Astyanax mexicanus: one gene and its partner. Each later gene encodes a partner of the first gene's protein in a complex. Links are inferred from orthologs where the notes say so. Each region holds a gene or a part of one and is shown in the gene's direction. Other genes may lie near its edges. The genes, in order: tbc1d23 and stx16.

Region 1 (12,254 bases):
GGCTGGCCGATATGGTAAGAAAAACACAATAGTGTTAAGGTATTGTGATATTTATAGATATTTTCACCATGGACAATAATTATCGTGGTACGCATAATTGCACTTAAAATGGCACAGGGGTGAAAGATTCTTAAAGTATGGTATCTATTCACTGGGAGGTATACTACTCAGAAGTAGCCTCTAAGAACAAGGGAAATATTAATTGGTCAAAGTTGAGACATTATTATACATTACTATATTTTTAATGCTTAAGAATGTTGTTAATCCTGTTAATTAATAATGAATTAAAAAAAAATTAAAATGTTGTAATGATTAATAATGCTAACTATTGCCAATAAATATTTAGTTAAGATTTGAGTTTTATGTCCTGTTAATTAATATACCTTTAATTATAAAATGTTACCCAGTAACGAAATCCATGATGCGATAACAATTATATAAAAATATCACAATACACCAAAACATCATATCACCCACCCTCACTTCACAGCCTCAGAGTGATGGGCTGTGGTTTAGCCCATGGCCCGATCTGGTTTGGCTTATCCTCCTCATTAAAGCATGCGTACTGTATCTGCGTATTTCACTGCTTTGCTTCCTTCGTTAGTTATGTGCCCTTTGTAAATCTTAGTCTAAATCTAAGTCTCATCATAATTCCAAACTGTGTTAAAATAAAAGTCCTAGAGTAAATCGAAGTGATGACTGGATAGCTTTAATAATTGATGGAGGTTAGTTTTGTTTTTTGTATATTTTTTTGTTTATTTCTGTTTTTCTTTGTTTATGGGGACACTAAATTTTGTGCACGCTGTTTAAAAATGGAGAATGAAAAATGTGAAAAATTTCAGTTCAGTTTATTTTTGTTTTCCTTTTTTGTTCTGTGATGTTCCAGATGTTCCGATATTCTCCTTAGCACAGAGTTCTGCCACCGTTATATATATATATATATATATATATATATATATATATATATATATATAATAAATATATATCTCGTAGGGTTTGATTGTAGACGTTCTTTTACGGGACGTAACAGTGTGTTTGTCTGAATGTGTGTAAGCTGTGTGTTAAAAGACGTCTGTCAGTGGGTTGTTTTTGCCATTACTGACATTTTATTTCTAAACGGGGAACTAATGTCACATGACTTTAAATTTGGGCCATAAAGTGAATTCATTTTACTTGTCTGTTTTTGATTATATTTTTCTTCATTTTCCTTTTATTCATTAATTTTGGGACTGTGGGATTTTTTTTTTTATATTCTGTACAGCATGAGTGAGATTTCTCTTTATAAATAAATGTTACGACTCTCCGCTGTAATTTTGATGTAGTGTTATGGCATTCAGCTAGTGTGATGATATCTTTGATTATGAACGCCTTAATAATCAGTCTACTTTTGCGGTAAGTTTACAGTGCATTCAAAACTTGGGACAGGATGTTTTATACTTTTAATTAATTCATTAAAGTAGCATCTCTTTTTTTCATGTGTATGTATTTGCCACAATGGGAAAGCAAGTACAACCAACCAAAGTTCAATTTAAATTAAATACATGCTCTAAAATCAAACAATACTATGAACACAGCAAAAAAATATGCAATAACCCTCTAGTCCTCTAGTTAATGTACAGAAATTCAGAAATCAACACAGAAACCCGTTGCATTCATTGACAAAAAAAATAACGTACAGAAAAGGGGATATTTGTAATGTACTGGACTTTGTGTCAATGATATATTAGAGTGATTACAATATTATAGTGAAAGGATGAGTGTATTGGTGTAAACAATACTGTAATTGAAAGGAGGCGCTAGTTTAAACCCTGTTGGAGCTTCTAATCTGGATACAAAGTGAGATGGAGAATGTTGGGTATGGAGTATTACAGGTTCTGTATGGATCCTGCAGCACATTTACCCACAGATGTTGCTACAGCTGGGCCTGTAGATCCTGTTCTACACTGATAGGTTACTAAGGCTGCTCCCTAGGTGCTCCCATAAATGCTGGATTGGTGATCAATCTAGAGATCTGTCAGAACAAGGAAATGCTGCACCGTAGTGGAAACATTCCTGGCAAACTCTTGCTGTGTGTGGGTGAGCATTATCCTGCTGAAAAAAAAAGTCCTGCCATGTGAGATAACACATGTATCTGCTGAACCCCTAGTATCACTACTAGGGGTGACCTACTGTTGCATGCTATGTTCCCCGGATCATCAATCGCACCAGAAGTTGGAGCAGAGTGTCGATCCACAGCAAAGGCAGCATTGATTTAGCTGTCAGATCCTAAACAGAACCTGAATTTGTCAATAAAAACAATCAAATATGATTTTAGTCTGTAGCAGCCCAGGTTTTCTTATTTATGACATCCCTGCAAACAAGGCTGAAGGTGGCTGTCTGATGTAGATTGTGGGCAATTTGTCCTCATTATAATAATAGCAAATAATGAAATATTACAGTGCGTCATCGATTCTGTTTTTTTGGTCTGTTTTCTGTTTTATTTTATTTTTTAACTCTTGAGCTTGTAGCCTTATCTCAACCTGGATGTGAACTGGACGTGGGACGTCCTGAGATTATATGTAGCGTTCGTTTGCATATATAAACATTTTACAAAATAAAGGGCTTTCACACTTTTCCTTATAGCTGTAACATACGTTATAGTAATATCTATGTATACATCCTATTTGATGGCTGATGTCAGTGCACCACCATGAAGCATTTCACCAATTTAGAAGTTTCCAGAATGTTTTTTTTTTCTTCAGTTTAGCTAAGCCAAATAACCTGCCCACTCATTGGAACTCTCCCTATGACTCCAGAACATGCCTCCTTTCATACATGTGAAGTCAGACTATGCCTCTTTTTTAACTTCCACCAATTAGTGCAGCATAACTAGGCAGCCAATGCTTGGAAGAGCCAGTGAGAACCATTGACCATTAGGGAGGGGATGAGCACTCCTGTTGAATTGATTTTCTGTTAATATTAAAGCGTAAATGAAAATAGTTACCAATATTAATATGGCCCTATATGCACCCATCATTAAAAACTAGTTGTTCCCAGAAGGAATAACCAACAGGAATAAAACCCCTTTGATTAGTTGTGCCAGACTGTCGGGGAATAACTCAGAATAACTTCATATCATTTTCAGTGAAAAGGCCTTTCTTTTTCTTGATGTAGACAACAAACGAATCTGGTTTGTTGTCACACATCACATGTTCAGAAGGCATGTTGTCATGGTGTGGGGTTTAATTTAGTTTAATATGTAACTTGCAGCCAGTGGCCCTACCTTTACTGAACACGGTGCACTAATCCAACAGGACAATGCTCGTCCACACACTGCTGCCATACCAAGAGCTTACTTTGATTATACAGCTGCATCTCCAGAGCTATCTCTGATAGAAAATGTTTGGGGTGTTATTGGACACTGCACTCAACGATCCACCCCTACCGCACAATCCGCAGGAACTGTGTGAGAATGTTGTAGGTGCATGGGATGAATTGAGAATCTCTACAAATCCATCCTCTGGCATGTTGCAGTGTTACACACTATGTCTGAATGTGTAGCTCAGTAAATATTACTCATCTCAGTCCACAATTATAATCATTTATTGACCCTGGTAACTTTTATCTTCCTTCTGAATAGCATTAAAATCCAACACTTTCTTCTGGGGGCATCTGTTTTTGCAATTGTTTCTTTAAGGATGAGCATATTTTGTTCAGCTCAAATAAGCTTTAAAATAAGTTAAAACTTTGAGAAAATAAGAGTATATGAGTGTATATTAAAAGCTGACATGTTTAGAAATTTATGTTTGCAGTGAAAAAGGAGAAAGCATATAAACGCATGTAAAATTTCCTGTATTGCCTGTTGGGTTGAGTTTGCTTGTTCTGTGATGAGTTTAGCTAAATGAACTGAATTTGCAACTCAAAGCTAAGCATTTTGGGGAGAAATCAATCATTCCAGGCTGCTGCATGTCTGAAAATGATTTAATAAGACCTGTTTATAATAATGTTTTATGAGCATTGCATAAATAAGTTATGGGGTTCTGTGTGAATGTAGCCTGTTTGTTCATTTGTTTGACTATGAAACTTTTGAAATGTGGCTGTGTACAATCAGTGCCCTCATACTGAAATTTAACAAATGTGGGAAAGAAAATGTGTTGATGGAAAAAGTAATGTTGGTAATGTTTTCTTGTGTAATTGTAATGTAAAGTAAAATAAAGAAACAAAACTTGATGGATATTGACTACTACAATATATACAGTACCAATCAATTACTCAATTAGTACTTATTCAATGATTGTATTGTTTTTTTCCTACATTGTTAATGAATACTCAAGTCATTCATGAAGCTGACTGGGAAAATTTAGAGATGTGCAAAGCTGTAACCTAAGCAAGAGGTGCCTAAAATATATAACATACAGCTCTGGGGAAAAAATTAGAGATTGATTTTACCTAATTAAAAACCTCTGGAATATAATCAAGAGCAAGATAGATGATCACAAACCATCAAACCAAGCTGAACTGCTTAATGTTTTGCACCAGAAAGTGCATAAAGTTATCCAAAATCAGTGTTTAAGACTGGTGGAGGAGAACATAATGGCAAGATGCATAACAACTGTGAAAACCAGGGTTATTCTACCAGATATTGATTTCTGAACTCTTAAAACTTTATAATATGAAAATGTTTTCTTTGATGTTTTCTTTTCATTATTTAAGGTCTGAAAGCTCTGCAGCTTTCTGTTATTTCAGCAATTTCTCATTTTCTGCAAATAAATGCTCTAAATGACAATATGTTTATTTGGAATTTGGGAGAAATGTTGTCCATAGTTTATAGAATAAAACAATAATGTTAATTTTGCTCAAACATATACCTATAAATAGCAAAATCAGAGAAACTGATTTTCTAGAGCTGTAGTCTGGTTTGTTTAACACTTGTTTTGTTTCACTTCATAGTTCGGATGAATTTAGTATTAATCTACAATGCAGAACCTTTTAAATATTTTTTTTTTACAATTTTAAATAATAAAAAACGTTGAATTTAAGCTCTGTCCAAACTTTTAACAGTGTAATATTAATGAATGAACTCAGTAAACACTGATGATATATATGTGTTGTTTGTACTGGAAGTTGAACAGTGCTGCGCGTGAACAGGTGCGGGCCTCTCCCCCGCGCGCCGCTGTGACGTGGAGCGGGATCGCAGCAATGGCGGACTGTGTGGAGGAAGTTCTTCAGGGCAGCTGGTAAGGTTCGGTCCGCCGGGCTTTATTAGGGTCAGAACCGGCTCTCAGAGGGGGGTTCTGTAACATGCGGGGTCCGGGGGGGCTGTCTGCCTGTCCTGGCCGGGTGACCCGGTGTGAGGGCGGCGGGGTTGAGCGGGTTAGCCCCGTCGGTGCTGTGCTTTCAGCTAGCCGGACTGAGGGACGCAGACAGCGGCTCCACTGAGCTCCGGCCTCGCGACTCTGGACGAAGACGTGGAGCTGTTTAGCTAGACAGTTAGCTTGTTAGCTAGCTGGCTGGGTTTTCAGCGCCTGGTTTAACTGTGTTTATACATTTTGGTCTCTTTTAACAGAGAGTCGCGCAGCTTTGAAGAGCAGGCGGAGTTAGCCTATTAGTATTTTACTCCTCACTTCTTAAGGAAATCTGAGGTAAATGTAGGATTTAGCTGCTAGCTGCCTGGCTAACAGACATCCAGAGTTAAGAAGTCCAGATCCAGAGTGTAGGAATCCATCCCAGGATTTTGTTCTTACTTCCTTTGCTCTTCTGTGTGTTGCTTAGCCGCAGCAGATCCGCTCAGGCGTTCAGAACACAATCCTGGGCAGGATCTTTACTTTCTGGACCTGGATTACCCCTCTCCACTGACAGCTGGCTAATGTGTAAATAAATAGCTGATAAGTGATCGATTCAGCTGGAATAGCAGTGGTTAGTTGTGACAGTCATTCTGATCGTGTGATTGTGTTTCGTTTTAAACGTTATTTTTAGTTTAACTGATTTAGTTAAATAACGTTAGTTAAAATCTAAAAAAAAAAAAAAAGATATGAGCACTGATTTCTCTGTCATTTCTAAGAATGGATAGAAATCAGCTCTTGGGATCAAAGGTTGTGATTGGGATTATGGTTTTGTCAGTCAGAAGTTTATATTATATTATTGAATATAATTTACACAGTCATTGGTCTGCCTTCAGTACCTTCTTAGCAAATCACTAGTGTGGAAATCAGTAATTTACAGTCTTACTGTAGTGTCTTTATGATCTCTGTCTAAATAATGTGTCCTTATTGTGAACAGTATATAAGCCACCCCCTTTTATGCGTGTAATCACTTGCTGATAGAGCTGGGTGATAGGGTAAAATATTATATTGCAATATTTAAAGACATTATCACAATACAGGTTTTGACATGCAGACAAAATGAATAACTTTCAGTACTTGAGTAGTACATTTTAAAATAAACTAATTGCAATACTTAAGCACAAAAAATGTTGAATAGGGCTATAGGGCTTCCACTTAAGTGTGGTGCTTAAAGAACACTTCAAATTCTACGTTTTACTTTTTTAAAAGAGCACTTGTACTTTTACTCAAGTCTGGATCTCAAGTACTTTATACATGTTTGAATGACACAAACACACGTCCAGATTTTTCTGAACACTTAATATCCTGTGTGTATTGTGATATTGTCTGTCAGTCTAGTCCGTCTGATGTCAGGGCTTTATTGCTTCTTTGCAAGCTTGTTTGTGGAGGAGCCACAGGCTGATATCAGTGATTCGGTGCTGATAGTTCTTTTGTGTTTACTCACTACAGCAGTAGTATTCACACTTTCCATACCTGAAGAATAAGTTACCAAGTATAAGAATTAGTTGTTGGTAATACATATACAACCCTAAATTAGAAAATGTTGGGACCGTATGAAAAGTATTTTTGTATGATAAAAAAATACAGTGTGTATCTGAGATTCGAGATTAGCATGTGTGTTAATGAGCCAGACTACAGGAAGTAGACAGAAGGCCAACAGCTGCTGTGTACAATGCAATGTGTTGTCTTCCTCTTCTGAATATAAAACAGTAGGCAGGAAGTGTGGACACACTCCTCTGGAGAGTTCAGGGAGATATAATGGAGGAAGAGAGAATGAGTGTGTACATGTGTAGGCCTGTCACGATCATTCACATTATCAATGATATGTGCATCCCCAGGTCCCCACCTCATCCCCAGGTCCCCACCTCATCCCCAGGTCCCCACCTCATCCCCAGGTCCCCACCTCATCCCCAGCTCCCCACCTCATCCAGTATTAATACGGTATAGGTCTTCTTTCTGCCCCTAAACATCCTCAGTTGTTTGTGGAGTGGATAACAAGATTCTGCAGAATAGATGTGTTTTATGATTAGAGTGAATTACTTAAATACACACACATGGCACAGGCTTGTACCTATTTCTCTATGAAGCTGCTTTGTGACATTTGCTATAGAAATACATTTGAGTTGAACTGAGTTTTGCTCACTGGTAGGCCTGTCACGATAATAATTTTTTGTGTACGATACATTGTCCCAGAAATAATTGCGATACTCAATATTTTTGTAATTTTAAGACTATTAATAACAGAATAGCTTAGAAAAAAGTAATTATACACTTTTTAAAGACAACAAACATTTAAACAATAATTTATTTTATTTAGTTTGTGAATGATATACTTAATTCTTCACCTACTTTAGTCCACACTGTGTGTATGGAGTCACAGTTATTGAAGCTGTTGTATGTGTGAACAAAAATACATACGATATCATCGAAAAAAAAATTGAGATCATGTTAATTTATTGTACGATAAATCGATATTGCAATTATTGTGACAGGCCTACTCACTGGATAAATTAAAGTTTTGATAGGTGTCATATAGGTCTGTCACAATAATTAGAATATATGTACATCAGCTTAATTACTTATTAAAGATAAGTAATTAAAAACATGTATTTTAACTTTAAATCATGATTGGTCATATTATTGTTTAATATATGGACTTGTATGCAGTCAATTTTTGCTGAGCTTAATATTGCCTATTAGGTTTTCTTACAGAGAAGAGCACATTTATGTGAATGGCCAAAATGTAGAATTTTACTAATTGTATTTAGTTAATTTAACCAAACTAAATTAACTTTATTATAACACAACACAACTGTAGTAATAAACAATTATTATATGTATAATTTTAGTGCCATAAAATATCAGTAGTAATGTTTACTATAATCCTTTTTGCGTCAATATATCCACACTTTATGTCCACCTTGTTATTGTGATGGGTGTTTGTGTTTGTATGTTTGTGTGCGTGTTTGTGTGTGTGTTTTTATGTGTTTTGTGTGTGTATGTATACAGTGCTGCTGCTGTAAAGCTAAATTGTTCACGCTCCACAGGCACAGCTTTATCTTTTAGATGGTTGATGTTTTGGGTTAAGGAAGGGGTATAGGAATGTGAAGATGTGAAGATCTGTTGCTCCGTCAACACTGACTGCTGTCTGACTCCTCCCACTCTGCTCCTGAGCTCCACAATGGCGTCTCTATTGTTGGCATTCAGGTTTCTGCCATTATGGTGGAACGATGATGTCAGTTGTGAGTGATGGATATTGTTTTCTCAACTGTGTGTGTGTGTGTTTGTGTGAGAGAAAGACAGACAGAGAGAGAGACAGAAGGCATGTGGGATGGAGCGTCTTTGTTAGTGGATTTTTGTTTAGCCCAGTAGCAGCCTGGCAGATGGTGGAACACTCTCGTCCTAGAAATATCATTCATGTAGCATATAGAGCATTAGTGCAGCTTGTTTAGACTGATGGAAACATGCAGAACACCTGAAACACATGATGTACATATCCAAGTCTGAACCAGGTAGAATCAAGTCTGAATTTTGTGTTCTGTACATTTAGTCTGGTTAGTTGTGGTTTCGCACTGTATTTTAGTGACTAAGTGCACGTAACTACTTAACTACAAGCTAACATCACCAACTATGTGGGCAGAGTCTCCCTATACTTCACACTGATTGGTGTATTGAGTGTTTCCCCCGGGATTCCTTTTATATATGTTTTAAAAAAGGGTTAATCTACAGTTACATTAGATATAGGAATCACCAGTGTAATCTGTTGTATCCAGACTGTTGTATGATGCGCCTGTACACCAAGGGGAATCAGATTCCCGCACAACACCGCTTCTTTTTCTTTTTCTATTGTTTAAAGGGTGATGATAGCCTAACTTCCTGTAATTGGTTTGGACCGCACAAAAATGTGTTTTAAAGTGCAAACCAATCAGACCATGGTTCAGCTCGTCCAGACTGTGAACATTTCTTCTTTAGAACACATTCTGGTCCTTTTGGTCCACCTAACTAAACAATCTAAAAGTTGGACCAAATTAGTTTAAGCTCTCTTAAAAGTGTGTGTGTGTGTGTGTGTTTTATAGGGACCATGACCTAGGTGATGCTTTGGACTCTGCAGTTGGTGATTTGGATACAGAGGAGGATGGCATTATCCAGGTCCGAGACCTGCCACCACCTCAGAGAGCCAAGCTTTGGATGGTAAGTATATGGTATGCCATCCGTACAACATTATTATGAGATAATCTACACATCATACCGCTATTATGGATATTACCATAGCACGCGGTTGGCAGCATGCTGTTCTGATCTGATAAAGCTCTGTGCTGAAGCTCTGCATGGGGAGCAAAGGCTGTGTAACCGGGTTGCGGGTGCAGACAGCCTCGGTATTGATCCACTGTTCATTAGAGAAATCTGATCCGGGTACAGCGGGCAGCGCCGAGTGAGACACACCACACACTGCAGCTTTATGACCTCCACTAGGGCTGTCATCAAACGCCCTGAGCTGCAGTATCACAGCATCACAACCCTTATTCTCTCTCACCCCAATCACTTAAAATTTTCTGCCCTTACAAAATAAATGAGAACAGTGGGGAAAATACTTACAATTAAAATAAAGGTTCTGGTAAAATTACAGAAAGATGTGTATAAAATATACATACACTACATAGAGTGCTTTGAACTTTTCACATGTTATCACCTTACAACCACAAAAACAAATGTATTTTATTTAGATTTTAAATGACCAACACAAAGTAACACATTATTGTAATGTTGAACAAAAATGATGCATGGTTTTCAAAGTTCTAATCAAATAAAATAAGAAAATTGTGATGTGCAAAAGTGTAAAGCTGCCTTTACTCCTAAACCCCTAAATAAAATCCTGTGCAATCAGTATAGCTGTATGTATTTTAAGCCCTATTCTAAGAGGATCAGGATAGCTGGTCCTCCGGTAATTTTAGTCCCTTCTGGATCCACATGTCTGAGTTTCGTCTCCTCGCATTTAATAAAGTAGGTATTTGTCTGCTGCCATGCACTGTAATTACATTTTGGGTGCACGTTTCCATGGGGATCCATGTAAACACATCAGCCAGTGGAAATGGAGGAGCTTCTGAACGCGATGTCACGTGACCAAGAAAGCCAAAAAAACTCACTGGTCCTTCTGTTTATTTTTTATTTTTTATTTTATATATTTTTTTGCAGTCCGGATGCAAGAGTTTTATCACTCGCTTCCTCTCTCTTGCGCTTTTTCTCTTTTTCAGATTGCTCTGAATGTGGCAGGTAAAGGTGACAGTCTGTCCTCCTGGGATGGAGCTCTGGACCTGCCAGAACAGACGCTAATACACAACAGATGCCAGCAGCTCATTGGTAAATAATCTATATCACATTTCTCTTTTAACTGCAGACTATCTTTCATACTGTTCTATATGCTCAATACATAGACCCACAGAACACATACACTATAAGAATACAAGCATTGGAACATTTACTTTTAGTTTCACACGGCAGTTTATGGTCTTGTTTGGACTGAACTTTTGAGTTGGGTCTGAAACAAAACAACAGATGTTAAAGGTGCAACAAACCACAGTGTCAGATGTTTGGACCAATTACAGAATGTTGAGTTGAGTTTCTTTCATAAATGATAGTTGTTTTTTCAAAATTTGTGAAATATTGTCCTTGTTTAAAAATACTGTTAAAATGTTTAATACTATGCATTATGGTATTACAGTAATACTGCCCAGCCCAAATTTAGATACCAGCACACTAAAATACCGCTTTTTTTTACTTTTTTTTAGGAATTTGTTTCATGCTCCCAAAGTGAAACAGTTGTGTCTTCCTGTACAAAGACCATGAAAACAGTAATAGTTAGTTTTAACGCAGTTAACAAAACACTGATTTAAGGAAGCAGTGAATAGATAAAGCACACAGTGCTTTACTCATCACCCTGTCCAACTCCACCCTCCCACAACCGTCTGACTCCAGCAGACTGATTCTATTCAGGGAATTTCCAGCACTTTGGGGTATAGCAGCCACTGCAGGGAGCTAACCCAGAAAAATAACTTCATTTCTGCACTGGGACAGGCAGACTTTAGCCTCCAGGCTCACCCAAAGCAAGACTGAGACACTAAGGCAGCCAGACTCTACAGCAGACTTTGTCCCCATGCAGCGTTATTTGATCAAATCTCTTATAAGCTCACTGAGGGCTACAATCAGTCATAAATGTGAAGTTACACATTAATTATTGTCTAACTACTGGTGGTATGTTTGCTGGTGGTATGTTATAGATGGATTACTCTGCTTAGGTTGTGTAATTACACAACACATTTAACATGTGGCGCTCCTATTGTTTTTTTTTATATTGATTATTTGAGCAATTATTTTTTTTCAATTAGTCGATTATTCAAAAAACGAATTAATTGTTTATCATGATTTTTTTTGTGGGCCATATACCTGTATATATCTGAAGGTTATAAAAGTTACTGTTAAGTTACTTAATAATGTACCGCCCTAGTTGTAAATGTCTGTAATAACTGTTATTACAGACCAACAATCATGCAGCAAAAATGAAATGATTGATTAATAATTAGCTCAGGTTAGCCATTAGTGGTTGTCTGTTTTTTTTTTTTTTTGCATTATAGCGAAGTGATGCAAAAATACACAGTCTGTTATTAAGGGCTGTAACAAATATTTAATATTATTTTGAAATTTTTTTTATCTATTGTAGCTTGCAGCAGAGCAATATTGTTTAAAATGAGCATTACCTGCGATGACTAATTCCTGTTCTTGTGTTCTTAACCCCTGCAGATCAGTTAGCTCTGCCTGTGGAGGATGGGCGTGACCTGGTGGCAGACGTTGAGGCGGTGATCACTTTCTACTGCAAGTCCAGAAATGTAACTTTCACTGCAGAACTGGCTTGGCCTCACCTTCTAAAACCATTGCTGG
Region 2 (12,667 bases), about 3.4 Mb from region 1:
TATGCACTACAACTGGTGTTCACTGTCTATTTTGTTCAACTGCACTACCTCCAGTCTACATTACACACACACACTAAAGACTGTACTTTTACATTGTACGTTCTATTTTTTATTTGATTGTATTTATATGTATCTTTATATCTTTATATTTTATATTTTTCATTTTGTAACTTTGTGTATTATACATACCTGCTGCTGGATGTCTAGAATTTCCCCTCGGGATCAATAAAGTATCTATCTATCTATCAAACTATCTACCTATCTAATGATATTTTTCTATCAAATATCAATTAAACTTTAATATCAGACAAAAATAACATGAATAATTATAAAAAGTTAAATAGAATTTGTTAAATGAAAAAAAAAACTATTCAAATAATCTAGCCCTTCTAGAAAATCTAGAAAATGTCTTTGCCCCCTAAAACTAATAACTTGGTTTTACAACCCTTGGCAGCAACAACTGCAATCAAGCTTTTACTGGCAGTGAGCCTTTCACATCTCTGTGGAGGATTTTTTTCCACTCTACTTTACAGAATTGTTTTAACTCTCCACATTGGAGGATTTCCAGCATAAACAGCCTGTTTAAGGTCATGCCACAGCATCTCAATCAGACTCCATAAAAGTTCCACTTTTGTCACGTAAATACAAAGAATATTTACACAAAGTTCTAGGGATAATCAAGATGTTTTTTGGTAAATGTGAGATGGGCCGTTGCGTTCGTTTTGGTTATCAGTGTTTTTTGGTTTGGAACTCTCCAATGGAGACCATTTTCACCCAGTCTCTTGCTTATTATTGAATCATTAATACTGACCTTAAGTGAAGAAAGTGAGACCTGCAGTTCTATAAATGTTGTTCTGGGTTTTTTAGGACCTCCTGGATGAGTTGTCCATGCCCTTTCCCAAAGTCTTAGAAACTGCAACCTTTTCCAGACTGATTGATAATTTGAGAAACAGCAGGCAGTTGTTCTGAATCAATTGCAGGAGCATACCAAATAATTTGCTGTTTGTATACAATAAATGAAAATGGCTTCTGTGATCTGCACATGTAAATAAATGATGTGCAGGTTACATATATAATCCAGCTGACAAAGAACAACCTGTAAATCCACTGAATGAAGCCTTGTAAGTGAATAGAAATAAAATGTTTAATAGATGTAATAATTCAATATTAAGTGTTTGTTTTTCATAAAGCATACACAGTTTTGAGTAATTTTCTTTTTTTTTCACATTTTGAATTATTATACTAATTATTATAGCTCCAAAGTGACAGGTGCAAGCTGTTTCCTGTAGTTGCAGATCAGACCTGCACAACAGTCAGGAGGAATTTTAGATCATTTCTCTTCACAAAACTGTTTTAGTTCTCAGTTTCATCCGATCAGAAATATTAGATAAAATCAACCGCATTTAATATTATCGCAATAAACTCAGCTCGCGCAAATAATGACGTGAACAAGGTCAACAACCAATAGGAGAGCTACGGGAAGAGGCAAGAATATATATCACATGACTGTTTAGAGACGATTAAAAAAGGAACACATTTTGCAATTAATAGGTCTTATATGGTTCTTACTTTAATATGTACAGTATTTTAAACACAGGTAGCACTTTAAAGTCTTTATATATTTAAAGTTATTTTATTTTGCACAGTTATTTATTTGTGCAGTGTTTTTTTTAATACAAACAAGTTTAATAAAATCATTTTGCGAGAATGATGTTCTTTATTGCATTAATTCTAGGCAAATGTACAGCAGTAAAACTGTGATTCTTTGCTATAGGCCTACAAGGTTGTAGCAAAACAGGGTGTAATGAAGCTTATAGGATGAGTTGAACACAAAATGTATTCTATAAAAAAACAAGAACTAACAGTGTGACAGAAAAAAATATATTGTTGATGGTGACACAAAGTTGTGAGTCTCTGATATTGATATGCACATTATTTGTAACTTAATAGGTAATATTTGTATGTAAACTCCACCAGAAGCATGATGGGAAATAATCTCAGAAAGAATCTAGTTGCAGCCTTGCAGTTAGTGACCCCCAGTCTTTGTAAAATCATAGCCTGTGACTGCTGTGTGAGTAAAAAGTCTGTAACGAGTCTTTAGACGTGAGAGGGGGTCAGACTTCAGTCTGTTAAAAGTATTTTCGGAGTATTTTCAAAGTCGTGTAGTGTATGGACAGTTTAAATTACAGTAAAAAAACAACGGAACGCACAACAGCGCCCCCTGTGGCCAGACTCCAATCTTGCCCTCCGCCGTTTAAGCAGAAAACGACTCTGCTCAACACTAGTAGGGGCCCGTGAGTGAGTAAGGGATGTAAATCCTGCCAAAAATAAAGCTGAAATGAAAACACCCCAGCGCCTTGCTCTCATGGGAGGTTCTGTAGTTATAGACCCGCCTACAGTTAATGTACGTGTATTTGCATGCTGCTGAAGTTGAAAACAAAAAGTGGGAAATGAAAAGTAAATCTCCAGCAGACAGCACTAATCTTGCTTTATGTTTCCCTTTTTATTTTGACACTCAAAGTGCCCCCCACGCCCAAAACTTACCCAGCTGGCATTTCAACGTTAAATAAACGTTGTATCAACGTTGATCAGCGTAGATATTATGGCTGAATCAACGTTGAATCAACTACTGATTTTAAAAAGTGAATCAACGTTGATATAGCAGCGTTGTTTCAACGTCATAAGTTCAACCTTTAATAACCCATAGCTCACTAAAATTAGAAATTCCTATGGTTAACAAAGTGTTATCATTAAACTTACATCACTGCCAAGGGCGTAGGAGCGGGCTTGATATTGGGGGGGACACATTTGCCAATATGAACCCAAGCCCACCCAATAGTTTCCTAGAACAACATTTGTGGAAATTACTTTTAATTAAAAGTAAATTATTATTATAAGGTGATTTTACAACCTAAACATGTTACTCCACATTACAGCTACTGTTGTTAGAAAAATTATGCAAGCAATGTCTGAGTTATCACCTAATATTTAAAATAATATAACAGATTATTATTATTGTTATTATTATTATTATTATTATGTATTGGCATCATACCTGTCAAGTTTTGGACTTAAAAATAAGGGATTTTTTCCGCCGCCCCAACAGCCCAAACGAGGGAGAAAAAAAAAAAAAAAAAAAAAAAAAAAAATATATATATATATATATATATATATATATATATATATATATATATATATATATATTTTTTTTTTTTTTTTTTTTTTTTTTTTTTTTTTTTTCCCTCGTTTCCCTCGTCCCTTATATATATATAAAATTTAAATAAATTCTAACAAACCCTAAAACTAGCCCTGAACTAATAGAGTTTGGAAATGATAGTTATTGGCTGATCAGGCACATCAGGGCAGGGCATTATATATATATATGTAGATTTTTCTCAAACACTGAATATCTATCTAGCTAATTCTAAAGTTAAGCTAACTGAGTCACAAGCTGTATTTTATTAAACACACAGTGGGTTTAATTTATGTTTTGATTCAGAGAAGAGTCTTTTTAACCAGCTATCAGAAACAATCTCATCACAGTTTACATGGTTAATTACCTTTCTTTTAGAAAAATCTCCGTATATCCAGATTAGTTTTAACGACAGCTGCTCCGACTAGCTGCCTGAACTCACAGCGAGGGGAGGGGCGGGGCTTCCCGCACACTAAACTGCGCTCCGCAAAACCAGCTAGCTGATTGGCTGTTTCTCCTGAAAGGCGGGACTTTCTCCTTGAACCGGCACCACGATTGGTTAAGAGACACACAGCGGTCAGTGCATTGTCGCCTGTGGCCTATATATTTTTTTATTTAGTATAATACGGGAAATTTACGGGAAAATACTAATACGGGAGGACGGCGGGAAAGAGGAGTAAAATACGGTAGTTTCCCGGCCAAAACGGGAGACTTGACAGGTATGATTGGCATGTCAATTCTGTTGTATATTTACATTTTCTCCTGCACTTTTATTTTTTTCTACTGAGAGCTCTTCTTAAGATGGTGTCCTTTTATGTAAAAGAATGTAACTTTACGTTTCATAGAGACTTTTATAAACGTCAGGATATGTGGTCTTACTGTGAAATACAAATGAACAGAAGTCACGTTACAGCAGTGTTTCTCAACCCAGTTCTTATATATTCTACTGCATATTAACACTGTTCTGCATATTCTAGAGCTTCCTCTGGTGGATATACATGATTAATTTAGGCTCCATAGGGGGCTAAAGGATTTTAACAGGTAAACTCAGTAAATGACTGTTTATTAGCTGATCAGGTGGAAAACACTAGTTTAGGGAAGCGATCGGGGTTAAGTAACTGCTTTAAACTACCAACTTACTGTACGAAATTCTGGCGATCATCTACATCCAGCTTCTAGATAACTAGTTAGTTAAATCAATTTTCGTTCATTATAGCTCACAGTAAGTCCTGTAATCCTAAATGAATAAACAGTTTGAAAATTAAAGTGATTAGCTGATCAGGTACAGGGAAACATTACATATATATTTTATTTTTTTCCTTTAACCCTGACTCCCAATCTAGTTAATTCCAAAGATAAGCTTACACACTAACACAGCTGCAGTTTATTAATCACAGTGGGTTTAAACTGTGTGCTGATTCAGAGACGTGTATTTTTAACCAGCTATCAGAAACATATCATCACAGTTGAAGTGGTTAGCCTATCGTTACCTTTCTTTTAGAAAAATCTCCGTATATCCATATCTGTTTTAAAATCAGCTGAAGCTGCTGCGTCCCGATCCCGCTGCTAAATCTCACAGCGAGGGGGCGGGGCTTCCCCAACAGCAAACTGCATCTGCTCCGCGCGCCGCAAAACCAGCAAGCTGATTGGCTGTTTCTACTGAGAGGCGTGACTTAATACCTGAACCGGCTCCGTGATTGGTCCGGTCTGTCTCCTCATTAATAGTACAGCTGACCTGAGCGAACTGATATCATTTTTGGGGGGGACAAATACACCTGTTTCTAATATTGGGTGGGACATGTCCCACCCATCCCCCCCGGTTCCTACGCCTATGATCACTGCAGTAAAGCTGAGTATAACAAAAGTTACCCACCTCTACCAATCTGATTCAACATCTGATCTCAAAAACACTAAAACAGTAAAACTATTAGAACATGAACATGATGTTAAATTAAAAAGCAGTTACTGCAAATAAAAGTAAAAAACTTTTTATTTCTCCATTCAACCGTTTTTAGAAATTATATGGTGATGAAATATAAAATACTAATTCAAAAGGCAGAAGGTTGAGGACATTATGTTGATTTAACATAAAAAAATCAATGATAGCACAACCATTGAACATTAAACGTTGATTTAACGCTAAAATTTCAACGTTACCACAACTATTGAACATTTCAACGTTGAAACAACAACAGACATTACTTTAGTCATGTTTCAACCACATTTCAACATTGAAGGTCGGTTGTATACCATGATGAATGAATTAAAAACAATACCTAATGAACAGAATATTCTTGTTCTTTCGCAAGTAGAATTACGTATTGTAAGAATAAAAAAATAATAAAGCATTACTGCTACTGTGTGCTGACTGGCCTTTTCGTTTTGATAATATTAAGCCATACAGAAATATTTTAAAAGAAAATAAGTACATTACTCTGCACCAAATTAATTCTTAATTATTTATAAACTTCATTTTGAACTCACTCGGGAGCGCCCTCTGGTGGACTGGCAAACCCACCAGAGACTGAGTGGATATTCTCCTCTGTAGAAGATCTCTGGTTGTAACTTACTCTGTTCAAAAACGGGTCGTGAAGATCGTAAACGGAGACAAGATGGCACTTTAGGTCAAACTCAGGGACATATATTTAAACGCGTCTGTAATATTAAGGGAATAAACTAACGGGCTGGTTTGATATTACGGTTCAGTGCTGATGGAAACAGCAATGTAATGCGCTGTTTTATTCAGCGTGCTGTTGGTTTGGAGGATCTCGCTCTCACTGAGAACATCTTTGTTGAGCGGATGTGACGCTCTGGGCTCGTCATGCACACGGTAGTGTTGTCGTCGTGGAGGCCGTGATGTACTGCGGGGTACTGTAGCTGTATCTCAGCGCGTCTCGGGGTGACGGAGCGCGCCTTTATGTGGATCTGTGGAGAACTGGGACTGTACGCAGACTCGCCCGTGGCGGGGCGCGGCGGAGGGAGCAGCCGGGCGGGTGTAGAGGAGGTGTAAAGGAGGTGGCGTTGGCGGATTGTTTATCCGGACAGAGAGACTAACTGGACGGACGATCTGATCTGACCGTAGAAAAGCTGCGTTAGGGCGCACGGGCCTCTCGCGCGCTCGCTCCGGTAAAACAGTAGCCATGGCAACTAGGCGCCTGACCGACGCCTTCTTGTTAATGCGGAACAATGCGATCCAAAACCGGCAGATTTTGGCCGAGCAAGTGAGTACACACGAGCCCCGCCGAGCTCTGAATACACGTAGCAATGCTGCGGTGAGTCCACTGTTAATTGTCTGTATAGATTTGCTTAGGTGTGTGTGTGTGTGAGCAGACTGACTCAGACTTCTTACACGAACTGACCTTTCCAACTGAAATGGTGCAGCAGTTCCACTGTGGCTCCTAAGGGTTCAGTGCTGTAACTGCACCACCATCTAACTGAGAGTTCCTTTAAGAAGCGAGCTCGCGCTCCGTGTGTGAGGTGTAGCCTGATGGTTTGATGTTTTACACCAAACACTGCATGTGTTTACGTGTTGTAAGCCAAGGAGCAGCAGATCATCTATTATCGCTCGCACGGACTCTTTACATTAAGTTCTCTTTCTGATCGGGTTAATTTGGCTTCTCTGCCTGCCGCTACCCCCGTGTAAAAGTACAGAGAACTTGTTATGAAGATCTTCCTGATAGGTTTTGATAGGTCCTTGCTGTATTTCACTCCCAGTGTCACTCTTTTTTAGATGGGCGGGTCTAAAGTGGGCCAGACTGACGCCAGCAGGTCCCTCACTCATTCACTAATATTCACTATTCTTTGTTTACGCCTTAGGGATCTTTGTTTGTGCCGCTCTGACACAACACCACCAATAGTATATTAAGTTATATATTGGAAATTAATCTGTACGCTACATTTAGGGATGCACTGTGAGTGTTGAAAGTGAAGCGTGTAGGGAATGAAACGCACTGTTTCTGTAACAGGGACTGATAACAGCGTTTGTAAGGTATTGGTTCAGCTTCTCCATCTCATGGCTGTGTGCGTTGCCATGGTAATTTAAACAAACGTTTGTTCGCCAGTGAAAGACAGCTGTTAGTCACGCACTTTCATGAGAATATTATGCCCACGCCCACATGGTTCTCAGAGTGCATTTTGAGGAGTGGTATGGCGTCACATCAATGTCAAAAGTCGGGGGTGCAAAAATACCTGGTGAAAAAAATTTACCTGCGTGTTTCAACAATTTATGTGTGCGAAGACAACTGTGAATTCGAGAGAAATTAGTTTGTTTCTATGTACACATTGCTAAACCGTTCACATAACACTTGAGTTTTGTATTATATGAAACATCAGTATATACAATAGTGGTGCCAGGATGGTTCTGTGCATATTTGCTTATTGGTGATAGCACAATATAAACTCCAGGGATAAACTCCAGTCATTTTTGAAGTAATAGTTAATAGCAGAGACGATGAAAATTTATTTTCTTGAGAGACCAAAAAACATTAATATTTTAAGTATTGGTCTAAGTGACTCATCTAGGCCTGTCGTGATAACTATGTTATCGACTTAACGTACGATCATTTTTTTAAACCACGACAGTTTTTGCCACTGGGTTTCCGCGTGGGATTGTTTACACAAGAATAAATCGGAGCTACAGTTCAGCGAGTCCCGCTGCGCTGCTCTCTCGCCGACTCTCTGTCTGAGACGAAGACAAATCTGTCAGACAGTGACATCTATCGGTTAATCAGTGTAGTGCACGCATAGCTTATGTGTGACAGTGCCAGTGCATCCACACATGCGTGCACAGCGGAGTGTGTGTGTGTGTGTTAGCTTGCGAACGTATTTAAGGCTAATATGACTTTCTCAAAACTAAACAGCTTTAGAGAAGGTTTATTTTGTTTCAAAACAGTGGAAACGAAGCTAAAATCTCATTTAAAGCACAGCCATCCAGCCCAACTTTCTGAGCTGAATATTGAATATGAATATGGTTCCCCCAGAGAGATCCTGCCTCAAGCACTGGTGTTCCTTGCTCAAATTTATTTCTGACAGTTACATTAAAAAAATACATTTATAGCAAGAGCCAAGGGCGTAGGAGCGGGCTTGATATTGGGGGGGACACATTTGCCAATATGAACCCAAGCCCACCCAATAGTTTCCTAGAACAACATTTGTGGAAATTACTTTTAATTAAAAGTAAATTATTATTATAAGGTGATTTTACAACCTAAACATGTTACTCCACATTACAGCTACTGTTGTTAGAAAAATTATACAAGCAATGTCTGAATTATGTACATATGACAAAAATTTTCAGTTATCACCTAATATTTAAAATAATATAACAGATTATTATTATTGTTATTATTATTATTATTATTATTATTATTATTATTATTATTATTATTATTATTATTATTATTATTATTGGCATGTCAATTCTGTTGTATATTTACATTTTCTCCTGCACTTTTATTTTTTTCTACTGAGAGCTCTTCTTAAGATGGTGTCCTTTTATGTAAAAGAATGTAACTTTACGTTTCATAGAGACTTTTATAAACCTCAGAACATGTGGTCTTACTGTGAAATACAAATGAACAGAAGTCACGTTACAGCAGTGTTTCTCAACCCAGTTCTTATATATTCTACTGCATATTAAAACTGTTCTGCATATTCTAGAGCTTCCTCTGGTGGATATACATGATTAATTTAGGCTCCATAGGGGGCTAAAGGATTTTAACAGGTAAACTCAGTAAATGACTGTTTATTAGCTGATCAGGTGGAAAACACTAGTTTAGGGCAGTGATCGGGGTTAAGTAACTGCTTTAAACTACCAACTTAAAGTACTGTACGAAATTCTGGCGATCATCTACATCCAGCTTCTAGATAACTAGTTAGTTAAATCAATTTTCGTTCATTATAGCTCACAGTAAGTCCTGTAATCCTAAATGAATAAACAGTTTGAAAATTAAAGTGATTAGCTGATCAGGTACAGGGAAACATTACATATATATTTTATTTTTTTCCTTTAACCCTGACTCCCAATCTAGTTAATTCCAAAGATAAGCTTACACACTAACACAGCTGCAGTTTATTAATCACAGTGGGTTTAAACTGTGTGCTGATTCAGAGACGTGTATTTTTAACCAGCTATCAGAAACATATCATCACAGTTGAAGTGGTTAGCCTATTGTTACCTTTATTTTAGTAAAATCTCCGTATATTCATCTCTGTTTTAAAATCAGCTGAAGCTGCTGCGTCCCGATCCCGCTGCTAAATCTCACAGCGAGGGGGCGGGGCTTCCCCAACAGCAAACTGCCTCTGCTCCGCGCGCCGCAAAACCGGCAAGCTGATTGGCTGTTTCTACTGAGAGGCGTGACTTAATACCTGAACCGGCTCCGTGATTGGTCCGGTCTGTCTCCTCATTAATAGTACAGCTGACCTGAGCGAACTGATATCATTTTTGGGGGGGACATGTCCCACCCATCCCCCCCGGTTCCTACGCCTATGGCAAGAGCTATGGGCTGCTGAGCCACCTGTGTCTTTGATCATATGGACACTTGTTTTTTTGAGTTAATGTATGTTTTACAGCATTTACATATATGATCAGAGAAAATAATCTGTAAGTGCCTGTCCAGATAAAAAAAAAAGTTGAATTAATGTAAATGTTACTGTAATCTATATGTTGTTACTTTACTTTTTATATGAAGGTCTGTATAATATTTAGTGCCGTTTTCTCAGAACCCACAGAGTTCCAGGGTGGTTGTACATTATTTGTTTTAGTTATTTAGGATATTAAAATATTTCTTTATTGGAAGCCCAATGTCTGTTTTTAATAATAAAAAGTTTCTGTAAAATGGTGTAATAATATTATTATACTAGTATTTTATTACTGTGGCACACTGTCTTAAAGCTCCTTTGGTAGCGCAGAAGAAGGAAAAAAGCTTTCTGTAGTGCCACTTTCAAATGACAATATTATCGTTTATCTCAATAATTCTACTATCGTGACAGGCCTAGACTCATCCCAAGAAGACGTTGGCTATTTTGAAATTAATGCGTTTTCTCACATTTTTTAAACTTGTGAGAAACTCTCACACTTGTGAACTCCTCCTAGGTTTTATATCAGATTCTTTAGATATTTGGAAAATTGAACATCAGGCATGTGTAATGTAAGAAACTGCAAAAGAAAAGTAGATATTTTAAATGTGGATAAAATAGCAGGAAGTTGATTTGCTTGATTTGTCACATAAAACCAGAAAATGGATATATTTTGATGATGTTAGGGGTTTTGAAGAGGTTACACATTTAAGTGTTGTAGGACAAGTTTTGATCTGACATCACAATTCTGGATCATGGTTTCGCAGTGGTTCTATTTCTCCGACTATGCTTTAAATGCTAAATTGTTGTCTTTTGCTGGTAACAGTAGTAAGTCTGACACACCCCTGGAAGTGCTGTATGATTATAATACTGTGGTTTAATAGTCTTCGCCCAGTGCTTACGAATTTTGGTAGGAACATTGTTCTCATCATGGTAAACAGATTCATTGGGTTCATTGGGTTAACTCTACACCCAACCGGACATCGGCCCGTGTCTGTATTTTTGCACCAAAAGTCCTGTTTACTGCAAACTGAAGTGGGCTTTACAAGTTTTTTGGGTAATTTGTGTCAGGTGTAGTTAATAATCCTGTTTTGCCTCATCTGTGCACACCTAAAGTTTTATTGGGGTCAGGGGTCAATCAAAGTATATGAAGAACCTTAGCACTTATTACTCTGGCTGTCCTCTTTATTTTTATATTATGTAATAGTTATGTTTTTTTGTGACACTGTTGGCATTTAGCTGAAAGTGGGTTCTGCTGTAATGGTGATGTGGTGGCTCCTTCGCTTAATTCTGCTGTATGTGCATTTTTGTGAGACCTGCATGTGTCCTTGTTAGAAGTTTGGTTGGTTTGCATGCTGAGTGAGTGTTGTTCTGTTTAAGTCTGTGGTTCTCAGTTGGGGAAACCACAGCCCAGAGTTCAGGACTGTTCATTAGGAATGGTCTTCAGCTCTACTTCCTACTGGAGGAAGTTTTGATCCCCTAGTTCTGCAACAGTGCTATTCTGCAAGTCTTTCCTAAACTCACATAGTGTATGGCCTTATGAAATCTTTTTTTTCTTTACACTTCAGGTTTTTAGGGTTTTAACAGTTTTTTTTTTTTAAGAAATAGTACTGGTCTTCAGCACTTGTGGGAATATCAATGAAAAACATGAAAAAAAAAGCATAGATGCGTTTATAATTGTTTAAAATGAATATCAATGCAATCTGTAATTTAACTCAATAGTTTCTCCCCAAGAGAACGAAAGTAGCACTTAGTTAGCTTCAGTGCGTACCATTTAAACTGAAGAATTGGTACAAATCTACCTACAAATAAAACAATATGCTATTTCTAATGAAATTTAATTAACAAAACTTGCAGAAAAGCAGTTGGGATACTGCTTTGCCCTGAGTTTTTTTGTTTGTTTTTTTGGCATATTCAAAGCTAGTATTTTGAGACATTTTAACACCTCTGTTATCCAGCTATCTGTACACACACTGTGATGTACGTGCATGTATGTGTTAATCAGAAGCAATTTTGGATTTAATAAGTACAGATACTAAAAAAATACAGATTTTAGATAGTTTATATTTTTAATTCTTTGTATTTCCATGGTTATATCTAAACTCCATTTGTGTTCTCCACTTGCAGAAATCAAAGGGCCCTAATAGTGGTAGAACCCCAGAAAGAATTCAGAGAACCAAAGATGTTATCTAAGAAGTTAATACATGACCAAGTGTCAGTTGATGTGTAATTTACTATAATGCTTTATTATTTGTGATCAAATTAAACAGGATTCAATTAATTTAAAATTATCTTCAGCACTGTCATCAAAACCTGCTCTTTATTTGTTTATATGTTTAAATTGGTTAAGTTTATTTATAAACCGTAGCTGTGAACAATCCAAAAATACTGTAATAACTTCTTTTTACATTAAGGGTCGACAGTGATGAAGTTTTATATTTGGATGCCGATCATTGAGGCTCTTCTTCTCTAATTTGCTCTCGGGTTACTGCCCTGTTTTCTCCCTTTCTCTTTCTCTCTCCTTGCTTGTTCTCTCTGGATGGGACTCCGTGGTTTCTGCTGATCATTTTAGGAATTTGATGAGGTACTGTCAAACATTCACATCCTAAAAGCCACACTTGATGCTCCTTATTCACAGTCCTCTGTCCACTTTCAGACTATTGAATTAAATCCTCTGTCAACCTGACCCTTTGCCTCTTGCAGTTGGCAGATGACCGGATGGCTCTGGTGTCTGGGATTAGTTTGGATCCAGAAGCCGCTATCGGGGTAACCAAACTACTCCCACCCAAATGGATAGAAGGTGTAGACGAGGTAAACTGCTTTATCTTCATCCAAAAAAATACAGTGAGATTTATTTTATTTAGAATGAAAGTATATTCTTATGAAAGCATATTCTTG

Evidence for each region.
Region 2: the proteins of tbc1d23 (region 1) and stx16 are in contact, whole or in part, in a crystal structure (PDB 8QQF), measured with the Homo sapiens proteins. The link is inferred for Astyanax mexicanus from reciprocal best matches to the Homo sapiens genes TBC1D23 and STX16. Residues at the interface, in NP_001186127.1 of Homo sapiens: Leu638, Asn639, Ser640, Val641, Val642, Lys643, Ile644, Thr645, Ser646, Lys647, Lys648, Ser661, Ser662, Ala663, Ile666, Thr683, Lys687, Ile690, Met691; in NP_001001433.1 of Homo sapiens: Asp209, Asp210, Asn211, Thr212, Leu213, Tyr214, His215, Arg216, Phe218, Thr219, Glu220.

Annotation. Positions count from the first base shown.
Region 1 is NC_064412.1:47,165,834-47,178,087, forward strand, and holds the start of tbc1d23 (TBC1 domain family member 23), read left to right. Parts: upstream 1-7,125; 5' UTR 7,126-7,140; coding exon 7,141-7,262; intron 7,263-9,397; coding exon 9,398-9,512; intron 9,513-10,573; coding exon 10,574-10,679; intron 10,680-12,116; coding exon 12,117-12,254. UniProt on the Homo sapiens protein: Putative Rab GTPase-activating protein which plays a role in vesicular trafficking. Involved in endosome-to-Golgi trafficking.
Region 2 is NC_064412.1:43,723,336-43,736,002, reverse strand, and holds the start of stx16 (syntaxin-16), read left to right. Parts: upstream 1-6,011; 5' UTR 6,012-6,333; coding exon 6,334-6,465; intron 6,466-12,341; coding exon 12,342-12,353; intron 12,354-12,472; coding exon 12,473-12,580; intron 12,581-12,667. UniProt on the Homo sapiens protein: SNARE involved in vesicular transport from the late endosomes to the trans-Golgi network.